Linked DNA regions of Lonchura striata. The protein of the gene in region 2 interacts with the protein of the main gene of each other region in a biochemical or structural test. Links are inferred from orthologs where the notes say so. Each region holds a gene or a part of one and is shown on either strand. Other genes may lie near its edges.

The links.
Region 1: the proteins of NHERF1 (region 2) and EZR form a complex in vitro, tested with the Homo sapiens proteins (2 studies listed by BioGRID and IntAct). The link is inferred for Lonchura striata from reciprocal best matches to the Homo sapiens genes NHERF1 and EZR.
Region 3: the proteins of NHERF1 (region 2) and ABCC2 form a complex in vitro, tested with the Homo sapiens proteins (2 studies listed by BioGRID). The link is inferred for Lonchura striata from reciprocal best matches to the Homo sapiens genes NHERF1 and ABCC2.
Region 4: the proteins of NHERF1 (region 2) and ABCC4 form a complex in vitro, tested with the Homo sapiens proteins (3 studies listed by BioGRID and IntAct, with this or other methods). The link is inferred for Lonchura striata from reciprocal best matches to the Homo sapiens genes NHERF1 and ABCC4.

Annotation. Positions count from the first base shown.
Region 1 is NC_134605.1:53,569,438-53,577,571, forward strand, and holds the start of EZR (ezrin), read left to right. Parts: upstream 1-4,947; 5' UTR 4,948-5,169; coding exon 5,170-5,181; intron 5,182-8,134. UniProt on the Homo sapiens protein: Probably involved in connections of major cytoskeletal structures to the plasma membrane. In epithelial cells, required for the formation of microvilli and membrane ruffles on the apical pole. Along with PLEKHG6, required for normal macropinocytosis.
Region 2 is NC_134621.1:5,648,677-5,655,931, forward strand, and holds the start of NHERF1 (Na(+)/H(+) exchange regulatory cofactor NHE-RF1), read right to left. Parts: upstream 3,069-7,255; 5' UTR 3,046-3,068; coding exon 2,653-3,045; intron 1-2,652. Other genes in the region: RAB37 (ras-related protein Rab-37), read right to left, coding at 6,580-6,685, 6,796-6,872, 7,140-7,196. UniProt on the Homo sapiens protein: Scaffold protein that connects plasma membrane proteins with members of the ezrin/moesin/radixin family and thereby helps to link them to the actin cytoskeleton and to regulate their surface expression. Necessary for recycling of internalized ADRB2.
Region 3 is NC_134609.1:18,584,938-18,592,564, forward strand, and holds the start of ABCC2 (ATP-binding cassette sub-family C member 2), read right to left. Parts: upstream 3,201-7,627; 5' UTR 3,107-3,200; coding exon 3,065-3,106; intron 2,542-3,064; coding exon 2,368-2,541; intron 1,927-2,367; coding exon 1,804-1,926; intron 772-1,803; coding exon 637-771; intron 246-636; coding exon 123-245; intron 1-122. Other genes in the region: copper homeostasis protein cutC homolog, read right to left, coding at 6,317-6,428, 6,993-7,098, 7,487-7,514. UniProt on the Homo sapiens protein: ATP-dependent transporter of the ATP-binding cassette (ABC) family that binds and hydrolyzes ATP to enable active transport of various substrates including many drugs, toxicants and endogenous compound across cell membranes.
Region 4 is NC_134604.1:76,662,727-76,670,198, forward strand, and holds the start of ABCC4 (ATP-binding cassette sub-family C member 4), read right to left. Parts: upstream 3,190-7,472; 5' UTR 3,099-3,189; coding exon 3,025-3,098; intron 1-3,024. UniProt on the Homo sapiens protein: ATP-dependent transporter of the ATP-binding cassette (ABC) family that actively extrudes physiological compounds and xenobiotics from cells.

The DNA.
Region 1 (8,134 bases), on a different chromosome or scaffold from region 2:
TCTGTATTTTACCTACCACTAAGTCTTGCATTCCCCATCCATTGTAAATAATTTCTCAGTCTCATTGTACACAAAATGTAAATGCCAAATTATATTTTGTTTTAGTTGAAAAGAAGATTTTATTGCACACTTTGCATCACACCCTGTGAAAGTTTCCTGTGGAAGAAGAATGTGTTACTAGAGAAGTTACTAAGACAACTCTTATGGGAACTGAAAGCAAACTGTGTTTAGGCTTCTTACAACTTATTGAGAAGAAACCTAATCTCCCTTTAAGCTTTTCTCTCCTTTTATGATGGGTAAGAACAAACCAGATAAAAGCCTGAAGTCTTGTCTGATTATTTTTCCTTCTTACAACATTTTAAAATAATCTTTCATAAACTTAATTATATATACTTTTCTTCATAATTTACCATGTCCTCGTAGGGCTCCATGATGGTCAATCAAAGAGTCAAATAATCCCAAGGACTACCTGAGGGTGCTGCTGGAAGACAAACTGATGATTAGGATCATCGATTAGGAAGGCAAAGATAAGGATCTCCCAGCATGTAACCACTGGATCATTGAATGAGGTTTATTTCCAGGCCTGAATGCACCTAACCTCTTGTTGGTTCAGGAAAAAAAAAAACTCAATCTACGCTTACTGGAAAAAAAAAATAGCAAAGCAACAAAAAACTGAACCTGGCAAGAGTAGCTTTTCATGTAGGAACAATAAGCAACTGAACTTGGCAGCAGCTTCTCATAGGAACAAGCAAAAATGAGGCACAAGCCTTGTGCTCTTTTACACCATTTATCCTCTTCATAAGAAACCCAGAGAATGTCTCAAGACATTGGCTTTGCCAATAGATGCTGGTCCACTGTGACCTCATTCTGTCAAGTTTTCAGTAAGCTCAGTGTGGGTAGTGGGGAAGTAGCTCTCAGTGCAGAACTACATCTCACCAGGTCCTTGGTCACTCTTCCTGAAGTCTGACATTTCAGGAATTATAATGCCAAAATTTCAGAATGTGCAATGTGTAATAAACTGCTTATTCAGCTATGCACAATGAAAAAGAAACTATTGTCAGTAATCCCATGTGGTTCTTTTTCCTCTTACAGCTCTTCCAGTTCACAAAGAAAATCAAAGACTCTTGACTGTCCTACATGAGAGCAAATCTCCTTAAATCTATGTATGTCTCAGAACGTGGCATCCTTTCCATTAACTACTCTAATGAATGTCCTTTCTTCTAGCTTCTATACTAAATGCATAGTCTGTGAGTTGTCAAGAGGACAGTTAGCTGCTATAGGTTTTTGTTAGTAAAAAATCTGCAAACAAACCAACAGAGAATCTGCAAAACTCTTCCAGCTATGCCTTGCCTAACCTGGATGAAATTTTCTATTCAGAGAAACAGGGAGTTTAGATCTCTCTGTTCTTGAGACTATTGATTCTGCATGAGCAAAAAAGAATAATGGATTTAGGGCACAAGATTTCATGTTTCCCAGTTCCAGGATGATCTGACTTAGGAAGTTTTATGTTGACTAAAAATTGGCTGGCACAAAGCCTGTTAAGCAAAAGCCACTTCATAGTGATAGGACTTGCTTGGGCAAACCCAGACAAGTACTTGGAATTCCTAAATTATACACATCAAGTTTAAATCTTATTACAGCTTAAAGGATAACAGGAAAATGAAATTAGTCTTCTCTCTAAAAGAAGGAAGGCAGGCTTAATGAGGATGACACAGTTTGGTTAGGGGTCAGTAAGTCACAGGAACTGTTACAGGGAAGAAGACAGAAACTGGGTTCTGCTACTGACCTGCTGTGCAATTCGGATTCTTTCGTCACCTTCTCTGCCTTATTAATTCCTGTAAATAGTTGGTAATGCTATCCTCTTAATAAAGCAGGTTAAGAGTAAGTGCAGGATCAGAGCAGATCTTAATCCTGTGACTTAAAGGCTTCATTTTGATTTGGATCTTATGCTTAATTGTGAAGTCTGACTGAAAATGATATGGTTAGGGTGGCCATAAAAGCTCTCTCTTGCTTAGCTAATGCCTAAATCCAGAAGTAACCAAGTTCTATAGAGTTGTAATGTGGAATTTTCCCCAGATTGCATATTTGTATATTTTTTTCTATACTTGAATTTCTGCCCCAGGATGTCTTGACATGGGTTGATTGTTTTGTGCCCATTTCACGCCTTCTTCGATACTCCCTCACACACACTCCAAAGGGGATCCAGTCTCTAAGCATTTGTATACAATGCTTATCGGTATTATACACAATGTCCATACTCTCAAAATTCAATATACTAACTTTCAGTGTACTCTCAGGAAATCCAGAGAACTGAGGGCTTTTACCATCACTCTGGAGCAGAGGGGAACTGATTTGTGTCTGGAAAGGATGGGAAAGATTCTGTATAAAAGGGAAGAAGGGGCTTGCATTATATACCTTCCCATCCTTCTAGGGGACAGGTGGGGAGAGAAATAAAAAGGAAGAAGCTGAGTGACCCAGCTGTAGAAGAGAGTTTTGTACTGTCACAAAGACACCTACCTAGCCAAGTCTTCAATAAGGTACTGAGCTCTGCAGGCAAGAGGGTTTGAAAACACACCTAGCATGAGGAAAAAGCCCAGGAAGGAAGCGAAGGGTATCTACGACATACTCCAAACTGGCAATTATTCTGGTTCCTTCCACTGAAGACAATTCTTCCTGTGTAAGCTCAGTATGTTCACAGTGGCTGGTTTTGGGTGGAGCAGTACTGGGCAAGCTGGTAGTTAAGGATGCCATTAAGGTATCTACCTTTCCCCATGTATTGCAGGTGACTGTGGGAAAATGGCACAAGTTTATGTGCTGTGGCAAACAGGAACCTAGAGATTGTATGTTGCCACACATAATTAATAGTCACCTAAATTCCTTTTGCCCCTAGGTTTGTGTGTTTAGGAAGCAATGGTAAGGGTTCGGAAAAAAAAAAACAAAACAACAAAAACCCAACAAAACCAGGGGGTTAAGCTTGGATATGTAACTAACATATGGGAACAAATACTTACCTGACTAAATATGATGTATTAGATCTCTCTCTGACATGGAGTTTCTTCAATGTGAAGCCCCAGAGTGATGGTCTCTGTGCCCATGTTGAGCTATAGACAGGAAAGGATTTTGGGAATATGGGCTTCCCATTAGATCCATGCAATCCTTTGTTTCAAGGGGATGCAGACACACACGTTTGTTTTGACTTCTCTGTTTTCAGTCACAGCCAAAATCTGGATTTTAAGACTATGGCATGAAAATATCTCATCTCTATCCTTTTCTGTCCCCTCCCCAAAATATCTAAGAATGTCACTTAGGGTTCTGAGTGAGAGCTGCAGAAGCTGGGTTCTTACAGCACTTCTTACTTGGAGCGGTTGTTTCTTGTGGTTGGCAGCATACCCAAAACACTCTGATAATTTGGTCTGGTTCATTTCCAGTGTCATCCTGCTGAATAAGGCATGAATCCCACCATAAACTTGTTGCTTAACAGAAGAGCATAGAAAGTGTCTTCACAAATCACATTTTTGTTAAATTAACCCAATCCGAGTGTCGGCATATTTTGTTAACTTAACCTGTAAATCTCAGTGGAATTGTTTCAACTGAAAATGGAGGTCATATCTGTTTCCCAAGGATGTCTGATCCCATGGCCCTTTTCCTGGAAGCTGTTCAGCTTAGACTATTTCTTCTCACCTGCTGTTGCAAGCTGCCACCCCCATGGCTCTGTTTTGATGGTAAAGCTGCCTCTAATCTCTGAGGATCGTGCAACAGAAAAGGAATATTACCATTAATTCTCTCAGCCTCCAACTTGGCTCCCCTCCCCTTTCTTTCACAGACCTGACACAGTCATGATTCTTTTATTTTAATGTGGCACAACCAAGTGCTGCTTGGTGGACTCTGTGGGGGAAGACACCATTTGGAACTCTGCCAAAGCAAGACTTGTATTGTTTGGGCTGTCCTTTTTGTCACCATCCCTTGATATTTCCCAGGCTCTCTCCTGCCCTCTATATTTTCCATGTAGTGGATGTTATTTTTCTGGTTCTATGCCTCCCTGTTCCCATCCTATGTCCTATGCTAAACAGACAGACAGTGGTTGAAGTGGGGTGTTGCAGACAGCAGCTTGGGTACAAGCTGCACAATTTCCTCAATCTCACAGCTCAGCTATGTGCCATTGCTGGCACAGTGCTACAGGCCGTTCGTTGCCCATGACTATGTAAATCAATGTGCTCTTGTGACCAGCCAAGCAAGGAGATGCAGTGGAAGGCCAGCAGCTCCTGGCAGACACTATCACAGAAGTGCATTACGTTCATGGGTGAGGAGGGAGAAGGAACAAGGGGCAGAGAGACAAACTTTGCTTTCTGTATATGCTTATAAATTGTTACGCTACTTGCATGAACTTTTTTAGGCTATACGAAAAGTCAGAACCAGCTGAAGTATACTCTATAGTTCCTGAGCTTAGATGGATTTTCAAAGTTTTCTCTTTTGCTGACATTGCTGAAAATATGCTTTACTACACAAAGCAAGCCTGTGTTTTGCTAAGTAATCAAATTTTCTGACCTCGCACTCCCAAGAAACACAGCAACTATTACAGGCCACCCCTAAGGCATCACGCCTGTGCCGGACGCTTTCCCCGTGCCATCCAGAGGCTTGGGAAGCGCCGACTCCGGCGAGGCCCGAGCAGGTGCGGGCGCGGCGGGCCGGGCCGGGCCGGGGGTCTCCGCGGGGCCGGGGCCGTGCGCGGAGGGCTCCGCACGAGGCCCGCGCGGCCCGGCCGTGCCCGGGGGCTCGGGCGGCGCCGCCCGCGCACCTGCCGCCCGCCCGTCCCTCACGGCGGGGGCTCGGGGCTGCCGGGGCCGCGGTGCCCCCTGCGCGCCGGGGACGTCGAAGCGAAGCCGGCAGGGGTGCCCCGCAGTGGGGCGAGGCCGGTGCCGCGCTCGGCAGGCGCCGGGGGGAGCGGCGGCATGGCCGGCGGCGGTGAGTCACGGCCGGGCCCCACCTGCCGTACTTAACCCGCCGCCGGGCGGCCGGCGCCGCACTCGCGGGCTGCGCTGCCGCCGTGGCCGGGAGCGGCTCCTTCCTCCTACACCTCCTCCGCACGGGGCGCTCGGCAGAGGCGAGGCGGGCGCCGCATGAACGTTTGTGTCGGGAGTAGCAGAAGCAGCAGCTCTCAAAACCCTCAAAATGCCGAAGCCGGTGAGTGGGCGCGGAGGGAGGGAGGCGCTCCGCGGGGTCGCAGCGGGGCCCGCCCGCCCGGCGCTGGGGACTCGCCCGAGCCCGGGTGCCCGGCGGGGCGGTCGCCTCCGGGTGTCGCGGCGCGGGCTTTTGCCGGGCTGGAAGGGCTGAGTCCCGGTCCCTGCTCCCCGCCACTGGACGGGGCGTTTCGACTCGAGCGCCCGGGAAGTTGTGCGCGGCGCCGGGACTCGGGAGCCACATCGGCGGCTGCTCGAGCGGGAGGATCGCTGGGGCGGCTGCCTGCGGACGCAGGGCCGCGGGTGGGCTGGAGGCTCTCCTCGCCGTCCCGCCGCCGGGAAAGGGAGCACGGAGCCCCGGATCTCTGTGCTCCAGAGATCGGGCGGTGGGTTTGCTCCGTCCTGTGCAGCGCTTCCGTGCTAGACATGCACAGAGCTCCCGAGTAACTCTCGAAAGAAGAGCTTTCATCACGCTCCCGCTTAACGAGAAATGCTACAACTGCGCCGGCTGCCATTTAGTATGCTTGTGGCCTATGCATTTATCTACAGGAAGCATGTATGCATCTGTAAAGCATGTATGCATCTATAAAGAATAGGAAGAAGCTTGTTCTCTCCTTGTTTTGCCACCTAAAAAATAAATTCTAGGGACTTTTATTAAAACTTCTCCACGCTGGTCTTTACCAGGCATTATCGAAGACCTGTTTCCTTTTTTGGTTGGACTTTTTTTTTTTTTTTTTTTCCAATTGAACGGTCTTTTTTATCCCTCCTTCTTTCTCTTGACACCACCACCTCCTCACCGCCTCCCCTTCCGACCTTCTAGTGGGTTTTTTTGTTTGTTTTATTTTAAAGTCTGCTGCTACTGTGCCGGTTAGAGACGGTAATTCCCTTGGAGCGCCAACTGCCTAATGCGGCGCTTTGAGCAGTCGTTGGAGCAGACGCACTTTTGAACTTTGAAGAGCATAATCAGAACAGATTGTTGTTACTATGTATTTTCAATAGAGGCAACATTTCTTAAAATGCAATGCAGTGAAGGACTTATGTATTAGCTCACTTAAATGAAATGTGAAATAAGAGCAAACAAGCTTATCTTTGTGGTAATAAGTAATTAATGTTTTATCACTATAACGTTAAAGTTAGTTGAACTTTTGTTTTTTTTAAAGTACTTAGGTTAACTTACATAAGCAGTTTCTACAGACCTACCAAAAAAAAAAAAACAACCCAACAAAAGACAAAAACAGCCAAAACCAAACTGTGCTCAGTCCTAAGAACTGATAAATGTTCAGTCTCTCTGGCTGTATTTCATCAGTAGGAGGTGATATATTGCTGCATATAATAACATCTAACTGAGAGGGCCCTTCTGTAACTGGGAAGCAAATATATAATTTATAAAGTATGGCTATAAAAGGTCGTGTGTGAATAATCTCTTTCTGCCTTGTTAGCTGTTTGCTAATTACAGAGTGCTTTCTTGAAATATCCTGGTTAGAATAATCTGAAATCCTGGTTTAGGACTAAGTCTCACTGGAAGCCATGGATAGGTGTACAAAAACTCTTTAATCTCTTAAAAAAATACAGCTGTGTTTATCCTTTTGCTTGGCAAGGCTAGGTTTGTATTCCCTCAGAGATGGTGATTTTTCTTTGTTTCTTGGCTCAGTAGACAGTGAATAACAAAGGTGGATGGTATAAACCACCATCCACTGGGGAAGGACAGTAGTACTGTAAAGACTTCTGAGATGTGACCTTCTGGCTAGCATTTATGGACAAGACTCTGTGTCAATACTTTCTAAATATAAGCCTTTTTCCTACTTAAACTTCTGTTTAGTGGGGCTAACTGCCACCTTATTGTAAATGAAAAAGAGGTATTTTGCAGAGGCTATTTTAGTAAAACACTCTGTTCAGTCTGTCTGCTTTAGACTGAGACTGGATTTGGATCCTTCCCAACTCAGCTCATTTAATCTTAATACAGCTAAATAGGATTCATGTCAGTTTGCATGGAGGGAGGATGTAAGGCTGTCACTCCAGAGGCAGAACTATGCTTGGGATGAATGTGACAACAGCCTTTGGCATGTGTGAGGAATGATAGCACAACCTCTTGGGATGCACAGGGAAGCAGTGTGTTTCTGCTTGGTATTTAGCATGGATGCTAAATATTTATTACCTGTGCTTGTTTGCATGTGTCTTGTCTACATGCCATAAGTAAATACGGTGTTGCTTGGCAGACTTCATGCTGCTGTGTGTGAAGTCTCACACACACTGGTCGTCAGTTACTTACAAATAAAGATTATGATAACAGAAAGCAAAATTTTGGCAACATCTTTCCCTCTGGCCCCTCCACCCACAACCCAATAAGCTAAACCTTTATATGAAACGATTGATTTAACAAAAATTATAAATGCACACACAAAGCTTATGGATCGTGTTTATAATTTATTTTTTCATAGTAAACAACTAGCAAATCCATTAACAGTAGGACATTAGTGATTTTGTATTTTAATTGAGTACCAAAGTGAAGTGCTAGAAAGCTGACTTCCCGAGTCTGTGATAACATTTGGTCACAATTAGTTGTATCTGATGCATGCTTAATATGCTCAAAATAAATTTTAGTAAAAGTCCAGAAAATAATAATGCAATCAGTATATTTGTTAATATAGACACGTTTTAATATGTAATTTAACACAGCCATTCTGCCATGTGTAGCAGTTACAAAATAATGAGATCTCTCCAAGGTAAGCTATAAATATATAACCTATACCCAGTTCATGAGGGTTTATGGCTGGGAGTTCATCAACAGTTCAGATGCATGATTTCTATCTAATCTGTACAAAGGTTCACTAGGCTTTACAGGTAGTGAATTATTTTGTAAGGAAATGCAAAAGGTGTCTCTTGTCCAAATCTTGCTGTTTTATCTGGAAATTATTGCTAAATAAACTTGCTTGCTAATTGCTAAAACTTACTTGCTC
Region 2 (7,255 bases):
AAACCCAGCCCTGGGAGGCTCTCCCAGGTTTTACAAGGAGGGAAGAGCTTTGCTGGCAGGGAGGGTTCTAATTTAACATTAAATTTGCAAGAGGGAAGCCCGGGGCTGGTAGCAAATGCCTTGCCCTGGTACCAGGGCCCTGTGCTGCCCTGGGAACACTGCGTGGTTTGTATGAAACTTTCTCAAGACACTCCCGAGCAGCTGAAGCCTCCGGAAATAAAGAAAGAGGCAGACAAACTGTCACAGCTCTCAGTGGGGGGACACCCCCACGGCACAGGGCCCCAGGAAATGAGGCTGACCTGAGGGGTGTGAAAGTGTCACCACACTGGCTCAGCACCGCAGACAGGGCTCCATGGATCAGCTTCCCAAGGAGGCTCAAAACCACATCATCAGGGCATTTTCACACTCAAGGTTTGATAGGAATGAAAAAGGAGCCCATGACAAGTCTCCCACAACTTCCTCAGGGATCTGTGGGGGTCCGAGCCCCCTGGCAGTCCCAGTCATGCAGGACCCAGTACAGTCTGGAGAGACAATTGATTCTGTTGGAAGCTGGGAGACAGTAAACATTGCTCACCACAGGCAGCTCTCCCAGCTCCTGAGCGTCTCCAGGCTTGTTAAACAAATAAAGGCAAGTCCAGCCCAATAAAGCAAACAGAACTCTGACATGTGCAAATCTCCTGCTTCCCCTGTGATCCCAGGGAATCCTACCAGCCCACAGTGATGGGATGGGGCTGTGGGGGGATGGAGCAGCCAGCACCAGTTGCCTGCTAGTGGCCAGGAACAGGCCACCAGTGTGTTCCTTCCTAAAGAAATCCCTTTCTGTCTGCTCTGGCTTGGCTCAGCATCCCACCCAGCATCTTCCCCCCCTGCTTGGTGGGTGCCTGGCCTGGGCGACGTTTTTAAACCCACTTTTCCACTGGGCCCTGCCCCCAGCCGCAAGATTTCCTGCTGCTACCTGTTGAGAAACCATCTGGGGCCTTGTGGCAATGTCACCCCATGTCACCTGCTTCCTGATCTAGGGAGGAGAGAAACCACTAGCAGAGAAACCGCCAGCAGTAACTGTGCATGAGCTGTGCCCCGAGCCTGCTCCCCAAGGCTGTGGGGAATCTTCAGCCAAGACTGTCCCCGAAAGCCCATGAGGTATCTCCAGCTGGAGCTGTCTCCCAAAATCCTGTGGGGCATCTCCAGCTTCCTAAGCTCCTTCTATCACTCCAGCCAACACAGTGAGCAGGCAGCAGGCAGCATGAGAGGGCTCCATCCTCTTTGGGGACCACACATCCTTAGCCCCCAAGCCTGGCAGGGGACTCACCTGAGCTGGATTAAGAACATCCCTTTTATTTTTCCCAGCCCATGGAGAGGTCTGGGAGCAGAAAGCAGAGCACAGTCTCGCTAGCCCCGAGGGAGCAGCAGCACTGTGACATATGGGAGAGCAGGCACGTTCTCCCTGCACGGGGCAGCACTGGAGTCCAGCACAGGGCCACACGTGAGGGATGTGGGATGATACAGGGTACAGCAAGCAAGACAGGCAAACAGGGATAGAACATAGCCGTTCCTACCCAAATAAACCCATCAAGGAGGTGCTGGAGTGATGTTTTAGCCAGGCAGGAATGACAGCTGTGCCTGCAGTGGATCAGCCCAATCAGAGGAACAAGCACAAGGTCAAAGTCCAACAGGAGATACAGCTCAAAACTACCTAATCCTCAGGAAAACCCTATGTGACAGCAGCTCAGTGAGGCACCAAGGTCTGCCTGGGACTCTGCATCAACACTGGGAAGGCTCCACTGCACCAGCCTCTCTGGGAACAGGTCATAAGATTTCCCCAGAATGTTCCTCACACTGGGGACTCTGCCCAGGGAGCCATCCACATGTCTGTTGTAACAACAAACACATCTTTGCTGGGTAAATAAAAAGCAGTATTATCTCCCAGAGAGCCCCAAGCGTTTCTTAGGAACCGCTTGGGGCATGAAAGGTCAGCTATTTCTCAATTCCTCACCTTTCTACATCACTTTGTTTGTGCAACTGCTCACTCCCACGCGTGCTTAAGGCCGACATTCCTGAGTGAGGAAGCATCCGTGGGCACTGACTGCCAGGACCAAGCCCCCAGCCCGGGAAGAGCTTTGCTGTCTCCACTCCACTCCACAGCAGAGATGGAACACGCTCAAATCCAAGAGCGACTGCCACCAATACCTGCTGTCTCAGCCTCAAGAACACCCTGTGCCACCTGTTTTTTGTTGTATTTTGGGGTGGGTTATTGCCAGCCGCCCTCAGCCCAGTTCTGAGGTTGTGCTGCACGTCAAATCTCCCCCTGTTGCTTTTCTCCCCCGTTTTGCCGGCCCCGCAGCACAGGACTCATCAGGCTCAGCCATGGCTCCAACCAGCCCGATGAGCCCGTCACTGACACGGCTGCGAGACGGGACCATTAACAGGAAAAAAAATTATTTAAAATAAAAAAGGCAAAGCAATCGGGCGCGGCAGGACCCGGGGTTTTGAGGGAAAAAAAGAAAGAATCGAGACCGAAACCACACACAACGCCCAGGGCAGACGCGGCGGCCGCGGCTCCCGCTCGACCGCGGCCGGTCGCAACCCCGCCTCCTCGGACAACACCCTCTGCCCCGAAAACTTCCGAGCCCCGGTCCCCGGCCGCTCATTCACCCGCTGGCCGCCAGCGCCAGGCTCCCGCGCCGCGGGCTCCGCCGGCATCGGCGCTGCCTGCCCGCCGCCCACCGGCGGCTCGGCACCCGCCCCGCTCCGCCTCGCCAGCTGATCCTCGGCCGTCGAGTCTACGACGAGAAGGCTGACGGCGCCGGCGGCGGCGCGGATCCGCTCCACCACCTGCTGATGGCTCTCCCGCTCCACGTTCTCGCCGTCCACCTCCAGCAGCCGGTCCCCGGCGCGCAGCCCCGACCGCTCGGCCGGCGAGCCCGCCTCCACCAGCCGGATGAACTGGCCCGGCTTGCCCTTCTCGCCGTGCAGGTGGAAGCCGTAGCCATCCGGGCCGCGCTCCAGGCGGCACAGGCGGGCGGCGGGGCCCGCGCCGCTGCTCATGGCGGGGGAAGCGGCGGGAGCAGCAGCGGGCCCGTCCCGCCGCCCGCACTCGGCGCACTGCGCGGCAACGCGCCCGCCTCACGGTTTATATAGGGGGGCGGGGCGCGGGGGTCGGCGGCCGCCAATCGGAGAGCGGGGTGGGCTGATGCCCGCCAAATTAGGACAGCGAGGGGCGTGTCTATGCAAATCTAAAGGCGCGGTTATGCAAATATGGGCGGCCCGGGTGTCCCGGTGCGCTCTGGCCCCGGCGGGCGCTCGGGGCGCGGCGCCGCCGGGTCGCGGTGCGTGCCCCGGACCGGACCGGACCGCTTCCGTGGGCTCCCATCGCTCCCCCGTGATCCGGGCCACTCCCCGGTGCCACCCGAGCCCACGGCGCCAACTCCCGATCCTCGCTGAACTCCCCCCACCGGGGATCGGCTCTGTCTCGGAGACAGCCCCCAGCACGGCCGGAGACCGGGACGCTCCCAGCTGTTCCCGCTCCGCGACACATCCCGGGTGGCCTCTCGGGGAACATCCATCCCACACCCTTGCCCAGTCCTTGAAGGCTGCAGTTTGTCCCAGCGCTGCTCCGATGTAGAGGGTGGAGAGATGTTCGAAGTAAAATAAAAAGAAGTAAAATAAAAAGAAGTAAAATAAGATCCCTAAATTGAAACTGTGCGGGAAAGTAGGCATTGAAGAGGGAAGGTAACTCGCTTTGCAGTGGAAATGAGACACCAGCACTGTTCCCCAGCTGCCTCTGAACCTTGCTCAGCACCCTAGAGCTGGGGGTCCGAGGTGGGAGAAGATGGAGGGAACCCCGGGGATTTGCTCTGCCCTGGTTGCATGTTCTCTGCTCATGGACTGAGAAGCAGAAGTAGCTGCAGGGAGCCATGAGCATGTGAGATCCTGGGGTTTGGGCTCAGCCAGGGCAGAGCAAGGCAGCAACCACCCTGGGCTGCTCCGGCCGTGCCGCAGGGCTGCTGGTGCCAGGCGGAGCTGCCTCCTGGGATTGTCCCAGGTGGGTGGCACAGAGGTGGCTCCCAGTGCAGGGCCTGGCTGAAGTTCCTGGGCAGAGATCCTCAGGGCAGCCAGGATCACATTTAACTGAGCTGCAGACAGGCGAGCAAGGAGGGGACAGCTGCATGCCATGAGACACATCTCTCACAAGGTTCTCTGCCCCAAAACCCTGCTCAGGGACCTCAGTGGCCGCAGAGCCCCCTGTGTGCTCGGGGTGGCCGTGCTCCAGCTCCGTGGGACGCAGCTGGGAGCGCAGGGTGGGCTCATTTGTTTCCTCCACTCGGCTGAGCATTCGCCCGCGGCCGCCGCTGAGAAAAGCGGTGGAGAGGAATCCCACGGCAGCCGGCGACAAATGCCTTCGGAGAGGAAAAGCAGGGCAAGCCCTTGGTGTTGTGGTAGAGCCCCAGTACGGGGGGCTATCGCCCGTGTCACAGCCGCCCCTTGGTAAGGGGGCTGTGAGCAGCACAGCCCCACGAGTGAGCGTTTTGGAAAGAGCACATTTTGGGTACCCTGCACTCAGTCAGGAAACAAAACCCAGCTCCAGCAGGGCTGGTTTGAGCACGGGACCGTGATAAGGAAGAAAGGCAAGAGCAAAGGAAACGGCTGAAGCTGCTTTTGGGTCCAACAATGCCTGCGGGATGGCAGGGCACAGGCAGGACGGTCGCGCCCCAGGCTGCCTCCTCCTGCCCTTTGCATCTTGGGGTGAAGTTAAGGGAGCTCAGGCAGGAGCGGGGAAAGAGAAAAGAGCCAATGTCCGTTTGTGTTGAAGCCATCCAGCATTTTTTTTTGCAGACATCAGCCAAGCGGCAGCAGCAATGCCATTGGTGGGAAGACGGAGTTATTTGGGGAATGCTGGACTCCGCACCATGAGAACAGCAGGGGAGGAGGTTGGTTTTAATTTAACAGGCCATGTTTACTGTTCCCCTCTCACCTTTGGTCTGTCTGAAATGTGCAGTGAAAGCCCTCCCCGGCAGGGAGGAAGGGAGGAAGGGGCCCTGGGTGCTTCCCCCTCCCCAGGGCTGCTCCCAGGGCCCCCGGCCCGGCTGCTCTGCAGCGCCTGTGTGCAGCAGCCTCCCACGTTGCAGCCCCAGGGCAGGGATTTCTCACGCAATAAACAATCCGACAGATGCAAAGCCTCAAAAAATGCCCAGCTTTAATCTGTAAACTTGCAAAGAGAGACCCAGGGGCAGAGCAGAGGTGAAGGAGGCACCGGGGCAGGCGAGATGTGAGCAGTCAGGTGCAGGGCCAGGGAAGATGCAGATGGGGACAGATGTGCTGGACAGTCCCTGACTCCTACGTGCAGTGCCATACCCTGCACAGCTGCTCTCTGGATCAGTGCTTCAGCTACATAACTAAATATTCACCATCTGACTGCTCTGGGTAGTGCTCAGGGGAATGGACAGTGTGCTTGAGGGAGCAGCAAAGCTGGGCTGAGCACCAGGGATGTCCCTGAGCCTCACCAGTGCCCAACAGAGCAGTGTTTGCTGGCTGAAGGCTCTCGGGCATCTGGTCTCCAGAAAGTGAGTTCCAGCTGCTATTTGCTAATAGCAGGAAGGCATAGCTGTGTTACGTGGACAGTGATGGGAGAGAAACCCAGCCTGGCTTGGGAGGTGGCAGGGCTGAAGCAACACCCCAAGTTATGCCACCATGGGCATCTCCTGCATGAGGCTGGAGATGGTTCAGTCTGGAGGCACTGAAATGGAAAAGCCTTTTCTTGTTTAAAAAAATAATTTCTGTAATTTCTGTGGCTACAACATGGGGGGAGCAAAGTTTTTCCAAATTGCTGTCTGTACCAGAAGTGCCCCAAGCATTGCTCGGATGCTCCCAGGGGAATTTCACTTCTCACACCAGCTGTGTGGGCAGGGAGCAGGTTTGGCTGGACCCTTCCCCATCCCAGCCCTTCCCTCGAGCAGAGCCAGGATACAATGGGGACATCATTGCATTTGTGGCAGCAGGAGGATAAAAGCCTTTGGCAGCAACTGCAGAAATGAGGAGCCACAGCTGATTGTGGGCACTGGGGTGTGGGGCAGCCCGGGGGACAGAGCTGATGTTCCTTGGAGGGAAGCCAGAGCCTGGCAGCACCAGGGACATGGGGCTGGACCAGGCCCTTCCAGTTGGACAGAAGCAGCACTGTGAGCAGGAATAGCTGCAAGGGAGGACAGGGCTAGAGGCTGCAGGGAGGCTCATCCATGGCACAGCCCCTCCAACTGCTCCAAGGGTCTCAGTGAGGTGTGTGGCTGTGTCCTGCACCCTGCTCATGTGCTGGAGGTGATGGATCACCATGGCTTGCTGGCCAGGCTGGCAGTCACCACACCATAGTGATTCCCACGGTGGCACACAGGTCGTTGCTCTGCAGGGCAGCAGGATTTGAATCCTAGCACCAGGACAAGGGCTCTCCTCATGGACTCAGCTCCACTGTACTGTGCCATCCACCTTGGCTTGTCAGAACTTGGTTCCCTCTGGTGCTTGAGGGCAGGATTGGGCCCCACTCTGCTTCCCACCTGGGCCCCCAGGCCTGCCAGCTCCTCTGGGCCACCCTCAGGAGAAGGCACAGCAGCTGGATTTCTTCTTCTGTGACTCGATGTACTCGTGGATCTGGAAGTGAGGCTCATCCAGCGGCTGCCCCGCGCGCTGCTTCAGCTCCCTAGGGTGGTGGGGCTGTGTTACCCTCTCCCACACTGTGCTGGTGTGTGGGAGGTGCTGGGGCTGCAGGGGACACCTTCCTTGCTCAGTGCCCTGGCCCCAGGTACTCACTTGGCAATGGCCAGGAAGGCCAGCTCCACGTTCATGCCCGTCTTGGCACTCGTCTCCATGAAAGGCACTCCATACTCCTGCAGGAGCAGCACCACCCCATCAGTGGCTATCACCAAGATGCCCTCCTGGCCCTCTGAATCATCCCTGTAGCCTGGATGAGGCTTGAGGGTCATCCCCTCCCTGCCTTGCCCCAGGATTTGCAGGCAAGTGACTGCAGTGCTGGCCCTGCAAGCACCAGGCGGGTCTGGGCACTCAGAAGGGATGGCACTGCTGCATGGGAACCCTGAGGGACATGAAATTGTCTGGGAGGGGCTTAAGTTGGGTTAGACCATGGCACAACTCACCCTGGCCAGTGATGCTCCCTCCTCCGTCCTCACAGCTCTCTCGCTGCTCACATCAGCCTAAAGGGAAGGAAAATGTCACCGCACACCTGGCCTGCTGGCACCCTGGGGCATCTGGC
Region 3 (7,627 bases), on a different chromosome or scaffold from region 2:
CTGAGCCCTGTGCTGAATCTTCAGATCTTCCTAAGGAGCCTGGAGCCTGCACAGAGCCTGCCCTGCCCCACACAATGCTCAGGATGTGGTGCCCCAAACCCAGTCCCACGTAGTCCTCACACCTTCTTCCCGATTTCCTTTGTTTCTGGAGCAATATCTGAGAAGCCTGAGACAAGGAAGAGCAGTAGCTGGAGCCCGTAGGAGATGAAGAAAAGGATAAACCGTGGCAGGTCAGAGATTGGTTCCTGCAGAAATGGAAAGCCCAGGGTTATTGCTGGGGATTGTCTCAAGGCCCCTGGTACTCAGAGACAAGATCCATCCCCTAGCTGAGCCCAATAGAGCAGTGTAAAACTCACTCTGAGTCATGGATCAGCTTCCCTTTGCCACCTCTCCCTGCTTCTCCCTGACCTCCTCCCATAAGTGTTTAGTCCCCAAGAAACAGGATGAATCCTAACAGCAGTTCCTTCTCAGGTCTTTTCTGGTTCCCTAAGGTCCCCAGGGCAGCTAGAACCCCAGGGATACCACAGATACACCCAGTGATACTCTTCTCTCTGGTCAAGAGAAGAGTATGAAGAAGCTTTCTTTGAGAACAGAGGAAGACCCTGGGGGAGTGCAGAGCTTCCTGTCAAACCCAACCTGCAGGGCTTTCCGGACGAGCGACTGGAAAGGCAGAATCCCACAGAGAAGGGTCAGTATCCAGAAGCAGAAGAGCACCCCCGAGTCTCTGCGCAAGCAGAAGCGCCGTGCATCCTGCACCAGCAGCACCATCATCTGGGGGAAGGAAAATCGGTCAGAGAGGCAGGCCTAGGTCTGGCTCTAAAAGTGCCCTTTGGAGCATGTGTCCTGGGATGCCAGCACACATGATCTGCTGGGATTCACTGCCTTAAATACCCTGAACACACCACCAACCCTTCATGAGCTTCAGAATTAATTATATAGGACAAAGGTTTATTTCAGGAGGACATAAGATCAAGCTTGAATGTACTCTGACATTGCAGCAGGGCACTACTACTCTTTCTAGCTGTTTTCACTCCAAATTCTCAGACATGTCAAGCCGTAAGGGGTCACACCCTGTCTCCAGCACCTTGCCTGCAGACCTGAAACTGAACCCAGATCACATTCCAGCAGTGCAGCCTCTCTGGGGACTCCGCTTGCCTTATCATTTCACATGGACTCTGCATGTGAAATTAAATGACATCGCAAAATAATAAGGAAAGCAAATGAAGGTCTTGTTTTGCTTATAACAAATTTAACAAATGCTCCTGAGCATTTGTTAGAATTTTAAAAGACTGTTAGAATACTCCATGTCTCACACAAGATGTCTGTAACACCCATGCACATATTCCACCAAGCTAATAGCCACTAGATCCTCTTTAGCCAGCTTTCTCCTCTGCCTAGGCACCCCATGGTACTTCCTGGCTCTCTGCCCAAAACTGAGCAGCAATGTAAAGGAAGCTGTGAGACATCAGAGCAGCAAGCCATGGTCTGGTGCTCACATTGCAAAATCAGTCCTGTGAAAAGCATACTTTTCCAAGTAAGGTTCTATCAGAGAGCTCAGCTACACTTGCAGGCATAGAATCATCCCAGTTTTAAGGAAAACAGCAGTGAGCACTGTACAGCCAGGTATCTGCCCTCAACATATCACCCTCGTGCACCACCCGCACGAGTTTGGGACTAGGCCTATCCAATTTCCAGGCTAGCCTTGCCCCTCTGACCTCTGTGCTAGGAAAGCCTCGTTGTGCTCGGTGCTGCAGTCTCACCCTGTCCCTGGTGACACACAGCACGCTCCTGGCTGAGCCTTACCCAGGTGGCGATGTACAGGCTGGGGTTTGTGTACTGCACAGCTGGCACAGCACCCTGCTCGGCGTCTACGAATGCCAGGGCCAGCTCCGCCACTGCCGTCAGCACCAGCAGAGCAGCCAGCACCTGTGGGGAGAGAGGGCCAGCCCATTGGGGACACTGGGAACCAAGAGAGACAACAGAGTTCAGCATAAAATACACCCTCTTCAAGCCAGACGTGGCCTGGGACAGCTTTCAACCCTGTGAATGTGCCACAGCTCCACAGGAGCACTGCCATTATTTTCAGTTTGGGAGACAGCAGGCCAGAAGATGAGAGGCCCCAATACACACTCTGCCCTCCCTCCCAGTGCATCCCTCCCTGTTATGCTCTCTGTCCCAGATATGCCTCCTGCTCGACTCCCCTTTACATTTCTGTCCCGGATAGTTCCCTATTCCATTGCTCCTTCCCTCCCGCATTTCTCATCTCTCCTTCCCACACCTGCCTGTTGCACAGAGTCTTTCCACTCATACTACCAACACCTCAGGCTGCTCCAGCCTGTCATCTGTGCCCCTTCAGCTCCACTCTACCTGTTTGATGATGTAGAGTTTGGTCACAGAGGATTTCTTGGCTCTGGATTTGCACATGGGCAGGAGCTGCCATGGGGCCAAAATCCAGAAGAAGCCAAGGGGGATCCAGACCAGCACAGTCTGCTGGAAGCACACAGGCAGGTCGGCATCCGGACGAGCGAGGTAGGAATCATTCTGGGGCAGCAAGGACAGAACACCAAGTCACTTGTGATGGCTTGACTGACTTGGCACACAGGACAGAAGCAAACACTCCTATAGGTTCTGCCCACCCAGCTCCACCACATTGCATCCACCCTTCAACACCCACCCTCCTGGCTGGGCATTTCAGCACTCAGCCAAGGTCCAAGCGATACTCCCATCCCCATCTCTCTGCCTGAATGTGAAATGACCAGCCCTTGGTGGAGCCAAGCCAGCAGAAGCAGCTGAAGCCAAATAATTCTCCAAAAGTCCATACAGGCTGTCCTGCATTCCCAGGAAGGCTAAAACAGGACAGAGCTCAGTCAGAGAGGTGTCACTGGCTCACTGGTGAGCACTGTGCAGGCAGTGCACAGCACTCCTGGATAAACCCCAGAACTTCTGCCGACCACTGGCACTTGAGTCTCACTGGCAGGACAGGCTGTGAGCCCTGGAATCCGCTGCTGTCCCCACACGGGGTCCCACACTGAGAACAGGCAGTGGGGATGATGCAGTCACTCACCCAGAAGACGGAGCCGCAGAACTTCTCCAGGGCTGCTGACATCGCTCAGGGGAGAAGAAACGGCAGCACCTTCCTCTCGCTCTGCCCAACTGAGACACCTGGGCAGACGCTTGGGACAAAAGTCCCCCCACACCCTCAAGCGGTCTTGGGACAAAAAGCTCTGATGACCCACAGTTATTTATTAACTGTGTGCTATTGCACAACCCTACAAACCAAAGCAGTGATCAAAAGGGCTTGGGAAGCTGCACAGGCTCAGAAGGGAGGAGAGGAAGACCCAAGAAAGAGACCAAAGGAGAGATACAGGGAAGTCACAGTCACTGCAGGACACCACAGCCATTGCTCAGAAACCATAGCCTTGATCAGTGCACACCGACAGACACAAACTCGTCTGGACCTGCTAAAGACATTACTTGGATGCAACAGACCTCTCCGGTGAGAAGCCTGCTGAATTCCAACAAAAAGTCCAGCAAAGGCTGGTCCCACAGTGGCTGGTGCTGCCTGGCAAGGGGGACTGTGACACCAGCAGTGCCCCAGGCTTGGGAATCTGCAGTGTCTGGCACCTGAACTGACCACATGCTGCACTGGTCTGAGTCCTCAGGATCCAGATTCCTTTTGCTGATTTCCAGCCTGCAGATCCCGAAGATTTTCCAAATTCATTCTTTTGCTTCTTTCTTTTCCACATTTCCATGTTGTATGTGTGTTACAGCAGTTGGCTGACCATAAAATCATAAAAGAGACTTTGGATCTTTATTCTAAGGTAACCCCAACATGTGAGACAGAAAGAGGATGATTCCCAAGGAGACTGATTGCCACTGAACCCTTGTTGCTTAGAAAGGCCTAGGTGTGACAGGGACATGTGGTGACAGTGCTACTAAGGCTGGAACTGAATTTGCTTTAACAGGTGTGCTCTTGAGGAACAGTAGGGTGACTGCAACAATTGTGTTGTCTCTTGTAACGGAGTTAGAAGATAACTCAGAAGTCAAGGGTGACACAATGAGTAATTCCTCAGGAATCATCAAAACCAAAGAAAGGCTCAATGTCCAACTCAGTGGTTAATTATTAGCAATTTGTCTGATTAAGTCCATATGGTTTTGTAAATAAAACTATCCCTAGTGCTACGTCCTCTGGGCCAGAACCAATACCCTGCTCATGAGAGCTGTAAACAGATGCAATGAGTAAGAAGTGAATGGAGCACTCACTCAGCCCTTCTCTATCTGGACTGCTGATGCGATTCTTCTTTCTGACACTGGCATAGGTGTCCTCTGGCCTTGCTCAAAACCACTTGGAGCACTGCTCCTAAGGGGGCCACTTGTTTATGACACCTTCCTACATAATGCCCCATCCCATTGCTTGTCTCAGTTTTTAGTACAGGTCACAGCTCATCCTCACCCCCTGGCTTTGGTCTCTCACTCAAACTTGAAGCGTTGCCCTCAGCACGGGATTCCACTCTTCGATGTTCAAAGCAATCATAACCCACCTTGTCTACCCTCACAGCTGGAGCATGCTGCTCCCAAAAACCACAAAGCTTTACTGTCCTTCAGCTCCTTCCATAACTCTTCCTCCCAGAATAATATACTAATATACCCAGAAAACATTCACTGGGACCACAGCAGGTCAAAGTAATCTAAGTAGCACCTCTTTGGCCAGCAATGCCAGTTTCCCTGTGCTCCCCTGTCTTTATCCATCTGTTGTACAGCATGTTGCAGCTTTTCAAAACTAGGCACTGATTCAAGCCTGTCTCACACAGAGTCTGACCCAGAGGTCTCTGCCAGGCAATCAACCAAATTCCTCCAGCCCTCACTGCTCATATCTTCTTGAAGAGTTTCTCTGCCTTGTCATGTCTTACCCCATGTTCGAAAACCTGAGGCAGCGGGGTCAGCAGAATATTCTCACCTTATCATGATTATGATACTGGTAGCCCCATGATAATTGAGCTACCAGTACCATAATCATGACCATGAACTTTTATGAACTCTCTATATTGACCATAATAATGAATTTAATAATTCTTTCCAAGTTTGGATTCTTCCTACAGCCTGCACATCCGTCAGTGCTGAAGCAGGCTCTGACACCAGCACTATGCAGTCACTTCCTTCCCAGCTCCTCTGTTAAGAACTTAAGTTCCCAAGGTGTTTTGGGAGACACCAACACCTCTGATGGATCCATGTGAAAAAGTGGATGTACCCTTTAAACTAAAAATACATCGTCTTGATGATAAGTTTTCAATAACATAACTCTATTTAATGTGACAAAGGTGCTTCCACCTTGTCAAGTATCACATTTTTTCCATACATCCTCACAAGCTGTAAGCTACTGCGAAGATGGGAAGTGAAATCTGTACCCTGCATTTGCCTCCTGAGATCCAACATCTTGTCTGTCAGAGGGATTCTCTTCAGCTTTGTGATCTTTTACAGAAGAGCAGGCAGCAAGGATGAAGGTGCTTTACTTCTAGGTCTCTACTCTTCTAATGCTCCCTCTGATACCATTTAAATCTTTCACTGTGTATTTTACAGACTAACTGTATCTGAGGCTGACTAGGCAGCAATGACCCAACAGTCTGGAAAACAAGCAGTTTATGCTTTATGGTGGGAAAAGGACCTGGAAACTCCTTTAGAAAAAGCAGACTGTCCTCCCAAGAAATCTCATATACCATCTCCACCTCGAGCACTGAGGACACAGAGCCCAGGATGGTTCACAGCTTCCTCATCTAATCAGTCAGGTGCTTCTCACTACTTACAGCTGCTGCAGTTCTAATCCCCACCTATGCTACTGGCTGACCACAGCAGGCCTTGTTTCCCAGCTGTGGCTATGGTGTTTCCCACCCTGGCATCTTGGATGTGATTGTATTCTCTGGCAGAGCAGGGTCCTAATTCAGGCTATGCAACAGGGGTCATGGTCTTACCTGAAAACATAAACTCTGCAAAAGCACAGCAAGAGGGGGGCAGCTGCAGTGTTTATTTGACAATCACATGCAGTGCTATACAATTCAGTCCCCCTGCTTGCTCACCTCCCTTCCTCCCAGATGCTGCTCAACAGCTGCTGCTGCAACATCTGGAAATGAGTCCTTTTATTTAAAATGGCCAACGTAAGTTTCCAGGCCAGGGACTTCAGGGGAAGCCAAGGGAAAAGGTGTCAGGCTCCATCACCCAGTGCACGTCCTCTGCAGCTCGAGGACGGAAGCAGTACCCATCTGTCCGTGTGCCAGGGCAGACCCTGCAGTCTCTGCGCTCTTGTCCCACACGGTGCCCACCACTACAGAATGTTCTTGGCAATCGCGTTCAGGGTCCTCACTTTGGCCACATCCGCCACCTTTATGGAGTACTCGGGCGCAGAGAAGGACGCTCCCATGGCAACGTTCGGATTTCTGTCAGGAAAACCAGTGATTAGTGGTGATCTGCTGCCGATACAGATGGGAAAGATCCACCAAGAAAAACACCCCCATATTTCCCCTAGCTTCAGCATTGGCCAAAGATGGTGCCACCCAAACCAAAGCTAGGACAGGAATAGAAAGAACAATAATCCTAAGCCTAAGAAGTGCAGACCTATGGACAAATATAGCCCATTCCTCACTCAATTTTCAGAAGCATATCCCACTGGCTTGCCAAATCCTACTTGCTTATGTTAAAATTCTAAGGCAACTACACCACAACCTGCCTTCCCAAGTGCTCTCAAAACTCCTAGGGCAGCAGTAGCAAGAGAAATGCCCCAAGGATCAGGTTCTGCATGGAACACATGTCCTCGTGAGGAGTACTGCTGGATTCATACACTGCAGAATACAGCAGCAGGCACCATGATCCCAAACATAAAAGCACAACTAGTACTCAGGAAGCTGTTTGAAATCTATGCCAGTTCTACAAACTAATGTTCACATTCATTAGCCTTTCCCTCACAGAGTTCTGCTAAAAAATAAGCATAAATAATCAGTTACCTGAACTTCATCCCTGAGTCCCGAGCTGAGCGAGCAGAGCAGTGAAACTCGGAAGCAGTGGAGCCTTCCAGAATCCTCTGCAGGTTGCGCTCCGTGATGCCACCTCCTGGTGGGAACAAGCCCGATGTCACACACCGAGCAGATGTCACCATGCCAGACCTGACATCACCCCGGGACCTCAACACCAAGGGACAGGAGCCAAGTACACCAAAGGGAAAAAACAGCCCTTGGGACAACGGGCACGTCAAAAGAGACGGGAGAAGCCTTGGCTCATGTTCTCCCATAGATACAGAGCTGTCCCCAAATCCTGCAGGGAGCAATAGCCACAGGGCTCTGCCCTCCCCAACGGGCTGCATGGCCTTTAATCACACCAGGACAGGAGCTGCTCCTTCTGGCTCAGAAAGCCAGATCAGAAAGTGGATTCCAGGGCAAGGAGGCTAGCAATGAAAGGCTAAGGATTGCAGGACCTGACACAGATGACAAAAAACCATTACCTGGCACCACCACAATTCTGCCCTTTGCCTGAAAGAAGAGTAACATACATGTCAGTGATATTAAATGACGACCATATCCACATGTGCATTTGTGAGGTAGCAAAGAAATCTCACATGCAGCACTTTCCATAAGGTCATGGA
Region 4 (7,472 bases), on a different chromosome or scaffold from region 2:
AGCCAGCAATAAAAAAACCAACAACCTAACAACATAGATGAAATAAATCAGGAATACAAGCAGGCCTAACTATAACTGAAATACCAGCCAGAGCTTTAAAAGGTTTGGTGGGCATGGAAATTGTGACTCTTGAAAGTCAGGAGTTACAATAATATCTGAAACATTCAGAAGGCCAATTTGGGCTTTGATAAACCTCTGTTAATTCAGTGAAAGACACAAGAAACAATATTTTGCAACTGCCCTGATCTTCACACTTCTTTCATAAATAGTTTTCATTCTTGTAACATTACACAAGGGATGCATTATAAAAGTAACAATATTAACACACAATCCAGATGCTCCTCTTTCCCATGAATCTACTGCTGGAGTGTTTAATGTTCATCAAGCTCATACTTGCTAAAGTCACAACCCAAAATCAAGAAGCCAAGCTTCAAACAACGGAAGAAGAATGTCTCGTCAGCCTACACACTCATTACCTGAGATTTATAACTCAATGAAAACATGACTTTTTTTCTCCCATGAGTTTGCCCTGTTTGCACCAGGCAATAATGTAAGCTTTTATTCTGTACCGCTGGCAACAAATGGGAGGGTGGTTCCTCACAATGGCAAAACTGCGCTTCTGGAGAAAAATACAAAGAAAATAAAAATAAGAAGGACCTTTGCCAAGCTGCTTGCAATGCCATATTTTTACCCTCATTGACAACAAGCAGACAACACCTGGAATGTGAAGAGCAGAGCAGGCACACAACCACAGGGTGGTGGCTGCTAGGACTCACAGGATGGCCTTCCTCAGGCATTGTTTTCCTGGTTGTCCAGATGAAAACATCTCAGAATGTCCTGTGTGAGACATGAGCTAAAATGAAGCAGTACTCACACAGCTGGGAGATGCTACACTCATAGAAAGGGAGAGTAATTCTAAGAGTTACCCTTAAAGTTAGCTTTATAGCTAAATGAGAGGGTGTTTTAACACTTCCTGAATTTTATGCAAAACTTTTTGCAGAAAATTGACAGCCCCTGCTTATTCAGTTTTACCACAAGGCTCAATTTTGACCAGGCTAAACAGTGGAGAAGAATGAAGGTATCATTTCAGCTGAAATGTACACCCAGAAAACACTAATGCTTGTTGACTAATATACCCATGTTAGTTGTGATCACAAGCACCACAGGTAAGAGACAAGACTTTAGAAGGCTATTTTCACTGCTTTGAATTACACTGCTATAAAAGCCTGATAAGCAGGACACTGGGCAAATTCTAAAGCTTTACATGCTCCACTAAATGCTTTTCCAAAGCAGAAGCTTTATGGTTGTACACCAGCATCTGACTGTGAAGTCTCAAGTCCTAGTTGATCTCTGGACTCTGAGCAGAGCTGTCATTCCCCAAGCACAGCCTTCCACCTATTTTCCCTTAGCAAAGTAAGAACCTAAAAACAATGCAGAGTGATACAGAAGGCCACAAAAAGAATGATACAAGCAGTCAGAAAGCTGGCTATGAGCACTGCATCACATCTAGCTGGATTGGTTTTGGCAGAACTACCAGTAACACCACAAGATTCCAGCAAGGGAAAGGGAACAGACCAGAAGCAGTTGTGGAATGCTACATGGCCAACTTAGGTTCATCCCATTCTGCTTGGATTTTACAACAAAGCTGTTTCCAACACAGGCATCCCTGGTGTTAAAGGGAAAAGTCAAAATCCTGAACACAGGGAGTTCTGCACCAGCATACAAGCTGCCTTTTTTATTATTACTTACTTATTTTCTTTGTTTTTTGCAAATAGTACCTCTGAAGATATATCTTTGACTGATAAACAAGTTTAGTTAAAATTTGTCAGGGTTTTTAAAACCCCACTACCTTCCAAAGGGGACTTCTGCACCTGCTCAGAGTTGCTTATAGAATCAAAGAGTTTTTAATTTGTGTTTCAGAGGCTTCCAAAAAAAGAGCTTCACCTGCCATGCCCTCCCTTCCTTCCCCCTCCTCCACCACACAACATGTGCACCCTGGTTCAGGCTGCAGCCGGTGAAGCAGGATAAGAACTTTCTCGGGAAGTGCTCTTCCAAATGGGATCTGCTAGGACAAACAAGTTTGGTGCTCTCCCGTTTTACTTTGCAAATGTTTTCCTACTACAGTTCAAAGCAACTAAAACGCCGAGCTGCAATTCCTCACCTCTTTGAGTACACATAGATACCCACGCCGAGGTCCCCAGAAGAAGACCAAGCACTAACTCTGGGCTGGGAGCCCTGTGGCCCCGTACAGTTTGTGGCAACACCGCCAGCCCTCGCTCCGTGAGACCCAAGCCCCTCCGGAGCGGGGGCAGCAGAGGCGTGGGCGAGCGCAGCCAGGATGCTGCCCCGCCACCCCTTACCCCGGGGAGTTCCCACGCAGCCACACGGGTCAGAACCACCTCACTGCCGGAGGGCAAAGCCTCACGCCGGGATGAGCAATCCCCGCCCGCGACCCGTTATTCAAACGGGGAATCACAAGAATGCCCGGGAGCAGCCCTGCACCCAGTCCCCGGCAGGGCTGCCCGGGCCAGGAAGCAAAAGGCGCTCCCGTCCTCCCCGCAGCTACCGAGGGAACAAACATGTGCTCCGAGGGGCCGACGGGGCCGCGCTCGGCGCCGCCCGCCCGGCGGAGCGCCGCCGCGCCGACAGGCAGGCCCCCGGCTGCGCCGTCCGCAGACCGCAGCCGGGGATTATCGCGGGCTGCCGGCGTCACCTCAGGAGACCTCAGCCCACCTGCGACCCGGGGCTACCCGGGCGGGCAGCGCTGGCAGCCGGGCCCGCGGGGGCGGGCGGCAGGTCGCGCCCGAGCCGCGCCTGCACAATCATCAAGCAGCGGGGCAGCGCCGGCCGCCGCTTCCCTTCCCGGCGCCCGGACGCTCCGGGAGCCGCGCTCAAGTGCGAGCCGGGCACCCTCAGCCGAGCCTGGGCACTCCCGAGCGGCCGGGCGAGGTGAAGCCAGCGGCGCTGTGCCCGGCGCCGCGCCTCCAGCGCTGCCCTCCCCCCTGCCCTCGCCCGGGCGCTCACCAGAAAAAGAGCCGGGAGCAGAGGTTGGCATCCTGCAGCGGGTTAGGCTTCTCCTCTCGGGGCACCGGCTCCATGCCGCCCGCCACGCCGCCCCGACCCGCCCGGCGTGCGGCGAGGGCGCAGGACCACGGGCGACTTCCCACCGCCAGCAGCCGCTGCTCCGCCGCCGGCCGGCGCTGTTTCCGGGAGAACCAGCACCCCCGCCTCGGCCCTCCTCCTCCTCCTCTTCCTCCTCCTCCGGCTGGCCGCCACAAGACGCCTCCTGCCGGCCCGGCTTCCCCGCGACGCCCGAGGAGGTGCCGGGCAGCGCCGGAGCCGCTCCGCTGCGGCTGGCTCAGTGCGGACCGAGCCCCTGGCCGGCAGGCTCTGCTCCCCCCGCTTTCGCACCTGTGTGTGCCCCTTGCTGATGGAAAGCATCTCCTCGCTGCACGCAGCGCCAGGCGAGGTGGCGCTGGATTTTTGGACAGAAAAATCCCTCACGAGTCAAGGGCAAGTCAGACTTAGCGGGACCAAACGCTTGCTGTCAGCGCTCCTTCCCTGATATTGCATATTCTTCTATTAGAAATCGATAACCAAACCATAAGAACAATGTTTAGGAGAGGTTGGCGATACATAATAAAGGAGCGAATTAATTTCAGGACGTGGCGTATCACTGAAATTGACAGTTCTAAAGGTTCAGCAGGTAGCCTCCTCTCCAGTCACCTCACCTATGGCCTGCCAAAGGGACCCTGATGAAGAAGAGCGAAAACTGCAAGGAAAGCAGAAAATGCAGGACAGGTACCTGAAGTAACCTAAGAATTGTTAATCTCTGTGGCAGAATGATTCCCTGCCATGCTTTTATTTCTCTGCAGTCTATAAAATCCAGGATGGCTGAGGTTGCAAGAGACCTCTGGAGGTCAGCTGGTCCAATCCCTGCTGTTTAAGTGCCATGCCCAGGCAGCTTCTGAGTATCTCCAAGGATGGAGATACTCTCCATAGTATACACAGCCCCTCTGGGCAACCTATGCTAGTGCTTAGTCACCCCCACAACGAAGAAGTGTTTCTTGATGTTCAGATGGAACCTGCTGTGTTTCAGCTTGTACCCATTGCTTCTGGTCCTGTCACTGGGTACTACAGAGCAGAACTTGGTTCTGTCCTTTGTTCATCAATATACACACTAATGAGACCCCTCTTAGCCTGGTCTCCAGTCCCTCTCAGCCTTTCCTCATAGGAAAGATTACTAGACTCCCTTCATCATCCTTGTGACCTTTCACTGCAGTCTCTCCAGTATGTCCATGTCCCTCTTGGACTGGGGAGCCCATAACTTAATGTAGGACTCCAGGTGGTCCTCACTTCTGAGTAGAGAGGAAAGATCACCTCAGGTCTGCTGGTAAATACTCATTCTAATGCATCCTAGCATATCATTAGTCTTCTTTGCCACAAGGACACATTGCTGGCTTATGTTCAACTTGGTGTCCACCAGGACCCCAAGCTAGCCCCCAGCCCATAGTGGTGCCTGGGGTTGTTACTCCCTGGGTGCAGGACTTTGCTCTTCTGTTTTTCGAACTTCATGAAGTTCCTATGAGCCTATTTTTCCAGCATGTTGAGGTCCCTCTGGATGGCAGCACAGCTCTGTGGAGTGTTATCAGTCACTGATCAGCCACCGCCCCTGGTGGTCTTTATGGAAAGACTGGATGTGGCACTTGATGCCACATCTAGTTGACAAGGTGGTGTTAGGCCACCATAGGTTGGACTCAAGGATCTCAAAGGTCTTCTCCAGCTTAATGGATCTGTGATTCTGTGATCATCAGTAAACTTGCTGAGTCAGCCCTCTGTTTCCTACAGATCATTTATGAAGATGTCAGATAGTTTTGGACCTAATGTTAACACCTGATGTACACCACTAGTTGCTGACTTCCAACTAGATTTTGAGTAACTAATCACAACCCTGATCTCCTAGACTCCTCAATCCGAGCCAGCTGCAAAACAAACTCCATTCTTATGTTCTGTATATTCATTTCATGTCCCCAGGAGCAACCAACCCTCTCTCTTCCTGCTTATATGTATTGACAGTGAAACTATTGACAGGGGTAGCATCTGACTTTAATTATACACATCAGAGTTGACACGTTGTTGAGATAAAAGAGGGTTGGGGCTACACTATAGTGTTGAATAAATAGCATCAGTTAATGCTTGAATGAATGTCATAACCGTATGTCAGACAAATCCAGCTTGAGCTTGCTGTCAATGAGCACTGATGGAGCTGGAAACAGCCTGCACTGCTCATGCATGGACGATGTGTCACAGAATTTCATGAACAGTAAGTAGTACACCTGTCAATGGCTTTCTCTAGATCCTCCCAGATAAAAACAAGGGAAAAAAGCTTGTGGAAAGGATGCAGTGGTTTGAAAGGGCAGTCTTTAATGAAATAATCCCTATATTCCAGAGCCTGGATAATAAATTTAAAGGATCTCCCAAAATTTGTAAAGAAAAGCTCTGCCCATCAGTAAAATTTGACGGGTTTAGATTTCTCTGAGACAAATTTGTCTCAGACTCCCTTCATCATCCTTGTGACCTTTCACTCATTAAATACTCATGAGTGAATTAAAAGGTATGACAGCATAGTGTAAGTCCCAAAATGCCAATAAAGATTGGGTCAGGAAGAGGGAGAAAGGAAAATGTAAATCTTAAGGCTGATTTCAGCTTTGTGAATTAGATTTGCAATGAAAGATTACCCAAACATTTCTTAGTCTGGGGAAGGAAATAATAGCCTATTAATGAACAATTAATAATTTATTACAATTAATAAATATAATTACAATTAATAATTTATTTTCAAAATGCAGATAAAAGTATTAAAGCAAAATATTAAAATAACCTTTTTTCAGTATTATTGTGATGATAGAAAAAGGACAAAAAGCAATCCTCAAGAAATAAATTTTTAATTTGCCATCATTATGACTGATTTTGAAATATTTAGTTTACTCGTAAGTCCGAAACAAAACACTTCCAAAAAAGTTTTGGAGAAGAAAAAACTAAAAGGAAAAGGGAAAATAACATTTAAAAAAATTCTGAAAGCCAAATTAACCTGTAAGTCTATCTGCTGAGGGTGCAATTAGAAATTAATGCAGTAATGAAAAAGTGTGAAACAATTGGGCAAAGAAGTGTTCATGAAAGTCTGAGACTGCCCATGGAGAGGAAAGGGAAGGGAAAATTGCACAGTAATTAATTTAATAATCTTCTTTCTATTTTAGGAGTCAGAAAGAGCAGCTGCCAATTTATGCATTGAACATTTTGCTATGGCAACGCTATTTTCATGTGGAGAGAACAAGATAGGTAACAAACTAATCAAAGTGTGACTTAGTAAATCTAAATTATCACGGTCATATGGATAATGATCTAGCAAAACCAACTATTCAAATAGGGAAATAGCCAAATTAAGGCAGTGCCAACTGTTAAACTTGTTATGCACATACATTGTTCTGGGGAAATAAATTCAGATCATAGGGGATGTCACAAATGTGCAAACACACAAGATTCACTATTTATTCAGTGCACAAGAAAGCCAGTAGTCACTAAGTAAGCATTTTATCATGTGGCCTTATGCCTTCTTTACTGTCTTTTCACTTTGAATACAGTCAGACTAATATGTTTCTCCATCTGCATTTTTAGGGCACTTAGCATTGGGGAGTTCACAAACATACAGTTTTCTCAAAACCCTTAGAAGATTACTGGGCAGTTTCCATTGATATCCAAATAGCAGATATAACATGGATCTTGAGGTGAAATGTAGGTACTGATCCCTGTTACGCAAAGGCAACCTAAAGCTTAGTCTTTTATAGGACATAGCACTATAACCTTTCCCTTTCTAGCAAGCAGCCATTGATATCAGGGCTGACACCCTTATCATACCCCAGGGCCTTGAGATGAGCACCTAGAAAACCAAGAAGTTGTGGATGACTGTGTTTGAAGTCTTTATAAAAGATTTGCTGAGCACTACATGGTATTTCATTAGGGACAGAATCAAATTCAAAGCTGTTTGAAAGATGTTGGAGGGATTGGTGTTCCAAAGGCAAGCTATGATAGCAGAATGAGAAGGCTTTGCAGCCGTGCATTGTTTGAGTTTCATGCTTTTGACTGAAGCCAGGCAGAAAGGCAGACCGTATGCCAGCCTGACAACCCAAACAGGCAGCGTTGTGTCCCACCACACTGCTGGCAGGAGAGCAGGCTGTCCCGCTGGCTGGCAGCCCAGCTTGTCACTACCCAGTGGCCTGACTCATCCTCTGGCTGATGTATCCACAGGGGAACGGTGCTTGTCCTCCTGCAGTACAGACATATTGGCCTGTTCTCCTTCAGCTGCAGAGCAGAAAAGGCAGTGCTGCAGAACCAGCCTGTAATTCTGCTATTTCAACCTGATCATTTTCCATATATCTTCTTCTACATCCCCGTGTCAATCCTCTACATTCCAT